Linked DNA regions of Drosophila melanogaster. The protein of the gene in region 2 interacts with the protein of the main gene of each other region in a pairwise test. Each region holds a gene or a part of one and is shown on either strand. Other genes may lie near its edges.

Region 1 (4,558 bases), on a different chromosome or scaffold from region 2:
TTGCCGATCGGATAAGGGCCACCCTAGGCCCACAAAACAACAAAAAAAAAAACTCACTTTTCTGGACGCCATATCGATGGTTTTTCTGTTGGTTGATAGGGATCGCTGTCGAATGATCTCGAGTTGTAATACTTTAGTGGGGGTGCTTAATACTGAACACTTGATGGCCCGCTAATTACACAATTCCTGGCGTGGCGAGCACGTTTCTCTCTAAAAAAACACAACACAAACACGACTGGCAAATCCTTCGTTTTTTTTCGTAAACAAATTTCAGAATTTCTTTCTTTTGGTTTTGAAAATGTGTGCACGAAATGCGCGCGTTGCTTTCGGGTTCTTTGCTACACGTACTCGTACTGGCCGCGACAATTTCTCAACTCGACTGAGTTGTGTGCGCCTCCTTGCTCAAAGTTTTTATGCAGCCAAATGCTCGCCGCTTATTGCTCAATTTCTTTATTATTATTTTCTCAGATAAATCATACAGACGGGGATCATCTTAAGTAACTCCCTAAGCAAATATTAGGTAACGCTTATAGGTTATAATTCCAAAAGATACTTTCTACACACTCCTACTGGTTGACAGATAACAAAGGTTTGCCTTCGATTTTTTCTATTATTATTTCAAGTTGGAAATGAAATTAGAATACAATATTATTATGTATATCATAGTTATAGTATAAAATATAAAATTGTGGTTTGTATTTTTATTTTTTTCAGATCATATTAAATAAATGAATACATTTCTCACAAGTTTCTAAAAGTGCATCCTCGTCTGTCAAAGGTCTTCAATACATAATTTGTTCAATATTTATCTCGCTTCATGTTTTGTGTTGTGTTTTTGGTATTGCGTGTGACGTTGACTCGGCGTCGCAGTCGCAGTCGCAGTCGACGTCGACTGCACTCTTGACTCTGTTTGGCAGGTTTTTGGCGACGCTACCACATGAGACCCCCCAGTCCCCACCCACCGCTTGCCCCGCAATCCCCCCCCACCCCCTGCAACTCATCACAAATGTGATTTTCGACGCGCAGCTGATTTTGTTGTTATTCTTTTCATAGAACTGGTTGCCGTCTTTTGTGTTTTATGTTTTTGCTTCAATCTTCTCTGCTGCTGGTCACAATTGAAAGTGCCTCCTGCAAAAATGATTGGCTTTTGGCCATCTCTGGCGGTCGCCCCAAGTACATTCCGCATTTCCCCGTCATTTGACTCACGAGGCGCTGATAAAGAATCCCAAATCGGGGGATCGTAGAACCCGTAGAACTCTTAAATGAAAAGCATATGTACAGTTGTATGTTGTTTATTCTTGTGAGATGACTAACTAGCTCCGGCCAAATCAGCTGTCATAAATTCCTCGATTTTATTTGGCTTGAATGTTTATGCTCGTTTGAAGATAAAACGCAGCAAGAGCACGCTAAATATATCAAACAATTTTATTCTGATTATCTGATTTCAGTGCTATCATGGCGCTTAAAAGGGGTTTTAGGAAGTCTTAAGTGATCTACCAAAATCAATCCGTAAAATAAAATTAAGAAAACTAAACTATAGTCACCATTTTTATGAACTTCAAAAAACCAGTAAGAATTTTAAGATCTAATTATGCTTAGATATGAAACACCATTCATAACAACTCTGTACTAACATTTCTCAAAACCTATTTAATTTCCGTGTGAACGCGCAGCGCGTGTACTTTTAAACAAATTTTATTTTTATTGACCATCATTATTCATGGCGTTTGAATTAATTCAACAGCTGCTTGGGCTGTTAAAATCTCTTGTTGCGCATACGCCCCGTTGCCGTCAAGTAATTTCACGTGCCAACGCTTTATTTAGCTTTTCCCGATTCGGCACTGTTACTTGGATATTTAGAAAATAATTGGAATATAATAAACAATGGCACAGTGGGCTTTCAAATGAATCATACAAAGTCTTCTGAAAATTTCAAAATTTTTAGATACAACAGCTGGTGATTAATTTGGCAATAGAATATGAAAAATAAATATTAGTTAAATATTAGGCTTTTTATTGAATATTTGGCATTTGCCCAACTGTTTTAAGGTATTATTTCTTTAAACAATTGAAAATAAATAAGATAAGAAGTATATAATTGATAAAATTGTATCTATCGTTTATTAGTTTGTATTAATGCCGGCTAAAATGAGGTTCTTAACGATCTTTGCGTTGTTTTGCGTCTTGGCAGGCTGCTATTGCTCTGACTCAACTACGTCATCCGGATATTATTGGGACCCATACTCATCATCTTGGGTTCCGTACGGAGATTCTACCACATCGTATCCCTACTGGGAGGATACTACAACATCTGCACCTGTTGCTTCGTCAACTTCCAGGTCTCCATGTGATGGAAAAACCCAAGGACCCTGCACAAATCTGCTAAAGGGTGCACAAAAGGTTTATGTCTTCTATTAAAAAATCACTTAAACGTGTACGCCTAGTTAAATAAATCATTTGGGAAATACATATGCCGGGTCCCCTTAGGTACTATACCCCGCAGATACCCCAGGTGCGGCAGAGCATGCGATTGAGGCTAAATAAAGATCAGAGGCTCTATTAACATCTGGTGCCCGACAGATAAATGCACTTTACGCTCTCACAACTGAACATTTAATGGCTCTTTCTTTGGGATCCAGCAAAGAGGCCTTTCATCGTCTGAATATATCACGAAATGGCAACGCCTTGTACGCAATATTTCAAACTGAAATTCACATAACACAAAATATTCTATTTTATTTTTGGTAATATATTTATTCGAACGGTTTTTTTTTGGCCGTATACTTTTAGCGCAATATTCATCGCTCTTGGTAAGAATGTAAAATACATTGCAAAGTCGTTTTGCCTTAATTGGGAAAATTATTTCACATACTTTGGCATTTTCACTGGATTTAACATAATTTTTTCCTCGACTTTGCACAAGTTGCGAAATTTCACTTGTTATATATTGCTGTATATATAAAAATATGAGCAAGACACGCGTCTACATATAGCTCACGGATTGCGTATACGCCGCGTATTCCAAGAAAATTCGAGGCCCGCACCGCACACGTCCAAGTCAATACAGCAACTGAAAATCTTTTTCAAAATGCCAAGATACAGCCCACAACTGAGAGTTTTCCCGGTTGTTTTTCCCCCATCTGAACAGCGAGTGCCGATAGAAATATTTTCAGAATTTCCATGCGCCGTGAGCGATTTGTGTCGAAATTTTTCTCACAACTCAAATCATGACTAAGACCACGTCTGTCTGGGTCTACCTGCTACCAATTAGATCAGGACGACACGTGTGACCAGTGCGACACTTCTCTTCTTCCGAAATAAATCAGAAAACGGCGGGTGGCTGAATCACTAAGACATTCCGGCTGTCCGACTGAACGGACTCCTGGCTGTGGGCCAAGAATATCACTTGCCTCCAGAAACATTAAAATAATTCACCACTCCCGCCAAAAAACAAGTGAACTACAGCAACCCAAGTAATTAAAAAAATAGAGGATGCCCCGTACAGAATGATCCCTTACGAGTGACCCGTAGAGGATACATCCTGCCCTTCGTTTTCAGTTCGACTTGCACGCGATTTGTTAGCGGCTTCTTGGCGGCTTGGTGGCGATTTGTGTGCGGCTTTGGTGCGGGTTTTATGCGGTTTTGGTGCATGTTTGGTGATATTTGATACAAGGCTGGCAGTTTGGGAATTATCTTATGTTTAAATGGCTTAATAAATTAATAAATTATTTACAGCATTAAGGAATTACATTATGAATTGAGGTTCTTTAATGAGTTCAAATGTTTTTATCCATCTATTGTCTGCTGGTTGACCTGTGCACATTTGCCATTGCCACTCATCGTTTGTCGCATCCAGTCGCGGTAGTACATTATATTCATGAATATATCAGGCACACCCTGGGCGCAGGGTACAAAGAAGTTGAGTATGCCCACCAGGGTGCCCTGGTGAACTAGAGGACCTCCAGAATCTCCGTGGCAGGCTCCAATATTTGCCTGACGATAAGCACAAATATGGCAAGGTCCCAGTTCCAGATCCTCGTAGGCAGACATCATGGACTCGCAAGCCGGGGAGTTGAGGTGTTGCTGCTGGACACGCTGCAACTGCGATGGCAACGACCCCGCCGCTGACTGAGATCCCCATCCGGTGAAAACCAGCTCCGAAGCTCCTCTTGGAAAAGGGGATGTGGGTAGTTCAACCGCCTGAGTTAGTGCGTTAAAGGTAATGCTCTCGTTCAGGTGGAGCAGGCCAATATCATTCTGGTACTTGGGACTGTCATAGTTGCAGTGCAGGTAGATGGCGTCTGGGTAATAAACAGCTCCTGGTTCCGCATAGCGAATTGTACCAGTGGCCACTTGAAGTCTGCTAGTCGGGTATCCTTTGACACAGTGACCAGCCGTAATTATCCATCGGTCCGATATGATGGCACCACCGCATAGGTGACTACCCAAAAGAGTTTGGAGCGACACCTGGTAGGGGGCATCTCCTTCAGCTGCATTCTGGCCACCCACAATGAAGTGCTCCAATGCCAATAAGTCACAGTAGAGTGAACTGAACACG
Region 2 (4,942 bases):
CTTGTGCATTATGACGGCGGGGCTTGTGATTGGATTTGGAGGCCATCTGGAGTTGGACTCGAACCTGGCTGCGGTTGGCTTTTAATAATGCAAAGTGGCCGATTTTTTCGACCTAATTTGGCTAATTGGCAGGCCGACAAATAAAGCATTGAGACATTGAAATTTCGGTGCTTCAGCTTCGAGCGGATTTTCACACATCAACACAGCTTCAAAGTGGGGGAGGCAAAGAATTTTCCGCTGCTTCTCCGTCTTTCCTGTTTTGGCTTTTTGGCAATTTTATGACAGGCACTGGGGAGCAGGAAGGCGGGAAAAGCTGCTGCCTGGTGAAGTGTTGAAAATTTACGAGCTCCGCCCCGCCCCAATCGCACCCCCCTGGCCCACTTTATTCAATTTCATTTCTTGCGCCAAAGCTGAAAAGAAATTCTGCAAAAGTCTTCGGGTCTCAGGAATTTATTGTTTGCCAGTTACGAAATTTATTTGTTGCTGTAAATTTACAATTCTTTCGCCGCTGCCAGGTAGCCCAACCCAAACACCCACACGTTCGTGTGCTCCAGGTTCGATTTCCATTTGATTTTTATTTCGTTTCAAAGCTCCAATTGTTTGGCAATTGTTTTTATAACACCACAAAAACGCTGAAAGGCAGGAGAAGAGCAAGCGCGGCTGCGGTGGGATGGCTTCGATGAGGATGAAGAAGATGAGGAGCGGAAAATGGGCACCGGAGCTCAAAAGGGAAATGCCAGAAATAAAGTTATGTAAGTCCGCATTATGTGTAAGTTCAAATGCCAAGAAGCAGAGTCGGAAATAATAAAACTGAAGCATGTCGGAGCATGTATTTGTGTTTAGGTTGCTCGTGGTCGAGGTCCAGGGATCGAAAATATTGGATAGGTCTGGGAGTGGCCATGAAGACGCTACGAGGAGGCTGGCTGAAATCGATAATAGCAGCGAACTAACATAATCTAGAGTTAAATACGTGAACTATTGTCATCAAAACAATAGTTAAAAGTAAAGAATCTAAAATTCTGTTCTCATATTAAGAGGGTATCCAAGTAACTACGATTTTCATTCAAAATCTATATCAACATAACTTAGTGCCCTGATTTCTGTCAGTGTACAATCAGGCAGGCTACTGTAACCCAACTCCTCTCAGAAGTCTCGAGCATTTTCCAGCCGCAGGCATTTTTTCACAGAGCGGGGACATCGTCTGGGATTCCCCCTAATTCCTGTCGGCTGACAGAGAGTATCCTTTTCAACTGCGCTTTGTGCGCTGGCTATTGTGGCTCTCGCTTTATTAATCAGACAAATCGTGAAAAAACGCGCTCAGTCGGAAAAAGGGAAATTATGAAATGCGAAACAAGAGCGGGCTCAATGTCAGGCGAAGTCCAAATCCCACTCCCATTGGGACTGCCGCCTTAATTTGTTTAATTTAGGCAAAATGTTTGGCCGCATTCGCCGATAAGGGGCGTAATTTGTTCAAACTTGTCGCAACTTGCTGGAATTCGCAACCCGCACGATTTTGTCACCGAAAAAAGGAATAATTTCTGTAACTAGCAGATGACACGGTAGCTCACTTGAATTGCGTTTGAGAAACATTGGAATCCTTTTGCACATACATAATTTGCTTTTAACTTTTTGACTAATACTAAAAATACACAAATGCCAAGTAGCAATGAATGGTTTTAGAACCAGTCTATCCTCTCTCAACGTACGTAGCTAATAACCAAATGTTCTCCATTTTCTTAAAATATTGATATCAATTAGCTCATTTGATTTAGGCACGTCTGTCAAAGAATTCGGTGATGTATACGAAAGCGATGGAAAACGGATCTCAGTATGTTTAAGCAGCATGGTACTCTTATCAGAAACGCTTTTATATTTTTCACTGATTTCCAAACATAATTTAAGTTACAAATTCATTTAATCCAATTTATGCATTGTAAAGTATTTCCGCACATCCTAAACTTTTTTAAATCACTTCCAGACGCTCTATTTGGGCCACTAAATTCCGGAGTTGTAGCTTTCGGTTTGATTCCACTGACCACACTGCCCACTGGGGTCGGCATACTCACTCACCTTGTCTTCCGTGTGTCCGCTGCGCTGTGTTGTTGGCCGTGTCCGGCGGACGGTGGGCCAAGTGCTGGTACTCGTAGTCGTAGTGGGACGACTGGGCGGCGGCTTGGGCGGCCTGCAGGTTCTGTTGGTTTTGGTGCTGGAGCGTCTGGCTGCCGTGGACCGGACCGAGGTCCGTCGTCGGCCGCCCGTGGCCGCTCATGGGGAGCGTACGTCCTTGGGCGTGTGGGTGGGCGTGAGCCGGAGTGGGGCCGCCGCCCACGTCGCGGCAGTCTAGAGTCGACTCATACTCGTAGGGATTCATGGCGGTCGCCTCCAGCGGACATTCGTCGTCGTCCGTGTCCGTGCCGCCGTCGTAGATGTTGTCCGTGTGGCGGTACGCGTGATGGGCGTGCTGCTTTGAGAACTTAATCTTGGCGGCTTGGGGGCTTTTGGCCAGACAGCCGGACAGGAGAAGAAGAAGAGGAGGAGGACTCCGCACGGGAGCAGGAAGAAGAGACTTGGTATGCGTTTGGCTACTCGCGATTATTCATGCACTTGCTGATGCGGATGCGGCTGCGGATGGCACTGGACGCACTGCACTCAAAAACATTTCTACTGGGCCATTTCCAGACGGTTAATCTGCGGGCGGGCTGCTGGTCCCAGCTCAATCACAATCTGCCGCCGAGGCCGCAATAATATTTCTTGGGCCTTTTCAGTAGTCGTACACTGAAAACACGGGACACACACGATGGGGAGCACAGGAACGCGACGGGAAAAACGGTGTTTTTGAATTGACGCGGTGTGTTTGTTTGCGCGACGATCGTAAAACTATGTCAGAATTCGTTAGACGCAGGTATCATTCGCTGCCTGATTCCCGACGATTTTCTATATTTTTCGACTGAAGCAACGCGCTGTTTTCGCTACTTTTCGTATATCCACATTTTCCGCGACGACAATTCCGACCGTGCGAGGCGAATTTCAAAAGACGAATGAGCTCAAAACGAACGACGAACCGAGTCTGTGGGAGAGAGAGAGAGAGCTAGAGAGCGCAAGTCGCTGCAAATATGAGAGAAAAACAATATGCTTCATATTCTCTCTTTTTCAGTTAAAATGCGTCGCTCTCTCATTTATTCTGATACTGCGCATGATTTGTGAGAGAGAGAGCGGTCGCGCACCAGCGTTGTCCATTTAGCTAATTTGCTGATAGTCTGGCCTTAGCTGGAAATATAGCTATTTTGCTAGAATAATAGGTGCTACTTATGTAGTTTAGGTTAATTTAATTGCAAAAGAATCACTCCGAATCATATAGATTTCCAGTCTATGACAGCGTTATAGAAAAAGATATGCAAGGAAATATAATAATATACTTTTAATACTCTTGTGCTTCTGTTAAGTTACCATCAATATTTGTTCTCAATGGTATGTTTAGCCTTTTTATAACCAGAAGAGTATGCAGCACTCAAATGAGAGCACTCATCGAATCTCTGGTTTGAAGGTTAAAAAGTGCGTTTCGTTTGGCTAAGGGGAAATGGATGTACAGCGGATTCGAATCTATCGTGCTGCACGCCAGTTTCGTTAAGATTATCTGAGGCGGCCAACAGCGCTGTAATAACAGCTTCACCGGCGGCTAACACCGACACTGTTAATTTTATTACAAAACTGTTAACCGGTTTACATAAAAGTGCGTATACGTATACCATATACCATATACCATAAAATATCAATGTAAATGTGGAGGTATTTAAGTTATTAGGTACAAACTTTAAAAGATAGCTTAGTTTATTCTTTATTATATATATTATATATTATATAATATATATTATTTATTATTATATATATATTATATATTCTCTTTATATATTGCCCTAAAATATCTAGGTTTTCCAAAACCTCCGAAAACTTTTAACTTTCAGCTTGCATTGAATAAATTGCAGGTTACACAAAAATATTAAAAACTACATTTTTAAAAACAATGGAATTTGTATTTCAAGGTATCTGAACCTCCTGTGGCCTGGGAATTACACAAAACAGTTTTTCATTTACTAATTATGCTGTCAGATTCTGTGGAGCATTTTCACGCAGCCAAAAAATATCCTCAGACTTCATTAGCGCTAGAAAAGTTAGTCAGTGGCGGCGAGGGGAGGCGAAAAAGTTTCAAATCGCTGACAAGTGAAGTTGTCATTCAGCACCCAAGCCAGAACCGAGCGGACCTGGCCAAAAAGTGTCCGAAACAAACAATGGTGGCCAGCGTGGGGTGGGTAGGTGATGAGGGGGCCATGGCCGAGAAAAGAAGCAGAAAATTGCGTTATAAGCAAAGTAAAGGACATTTCGCTAATGGCTTAACTTTTGAACGCAGGTCTCATCCTGCCGCCTCCACCGACCGCCCCCTAGCCCGTCGTGCAGGCAATTCTCTGCCATGTAGCGGAAGTTGTTGCTGAAGCTTTTTTGACAGCTTTCCCAGCACGAGAAGGATACGGCGGGGAAGAAGAAGAGATGCCGGAGAAATTGTCATTTCTTTTCCGAGTCTCGCAATGTGGCAACGCCGCGTGACGCAAATTTTTTTGTAGTCTGAAAGTATTTGCATAGGATATGGAGTCTTGCTTTCCCGATTTTCTTTGCTGTCGATGAAAAATCAATTTCCTGTTGTATGCAAAAATGTTTGAGCATCATTCAAGAAAGGGAGAGAAGCGTTGCTCGCCTGCACTTGACACATTGAATATTATCAGGAGGATGTGGATTCCGAGGGGGAATGTGACTTCTGATTTGGCTAGTTGTCGTAGGTTTCGATCTGAGTCTTCGTACAGGAACAAACATTCTTGGCTTGTTGTGCATATATTTAATTAAGGGGCAATGGATTAAACCTTTGCAGTTTTTTGAAGTTGAACCATTTGGG

What was found.
Region 1: the proteins of Ten-m (region 2) and cher interact in binary tests that used the Drosophila melanogaster proteins (3 or more experiments, as listed by UniProt).

What each region holds. Positions count from the first base shown.
Region 1 is NT_033777.3:17,122,341-17,126,898, forward strand, and holds the start of cher (cheerio), read right to left. Parts: upstream 3,050-4,558; 5' UTR 2,899-3,049; coding exon 2,873-2,898; intron 2,447-2,872; exon of another isoform or gene 2,419-2,446; coding exon of another isoform or gene 2,149-2,418; exon of another isoform or gene 2,137-2,148; intron 343-2,136; exon of another isoform or gene 73-342; coding exon of another isoform or gene 58-72; intron 1-57. Other genes in the region: CG45079 (uncharacterized protein), read left to right, coding at 2,149-2,418; CG17477 (uncharacterized protein), read right to left, coding at 3,787-4,558. UniProt on the Drosophila melanogaster protein: Involved in the germline ring canal formation. May tether actin microfilament within the ovarian ring canal to the cell membrane. Contributes to actin microfilaments organization.
Region 2 is NT_037436.4:22,404,822-22,409,763, forward strand, and holds the start of Ten-m (tenascin major), read right to left. Parts: upstream 3,043-4,942; 5' UTR 2,372-3,042; coding exon 2,071-2,371; intron 1-2,070. UniProt on the Drosophila melanogaster protein: Involved in neural development, regulating the establishment of proper connectivity within the nervous system. Acts as a homophilic and heterophilic synaptic cell adhesion molecule that drives synapse assembly.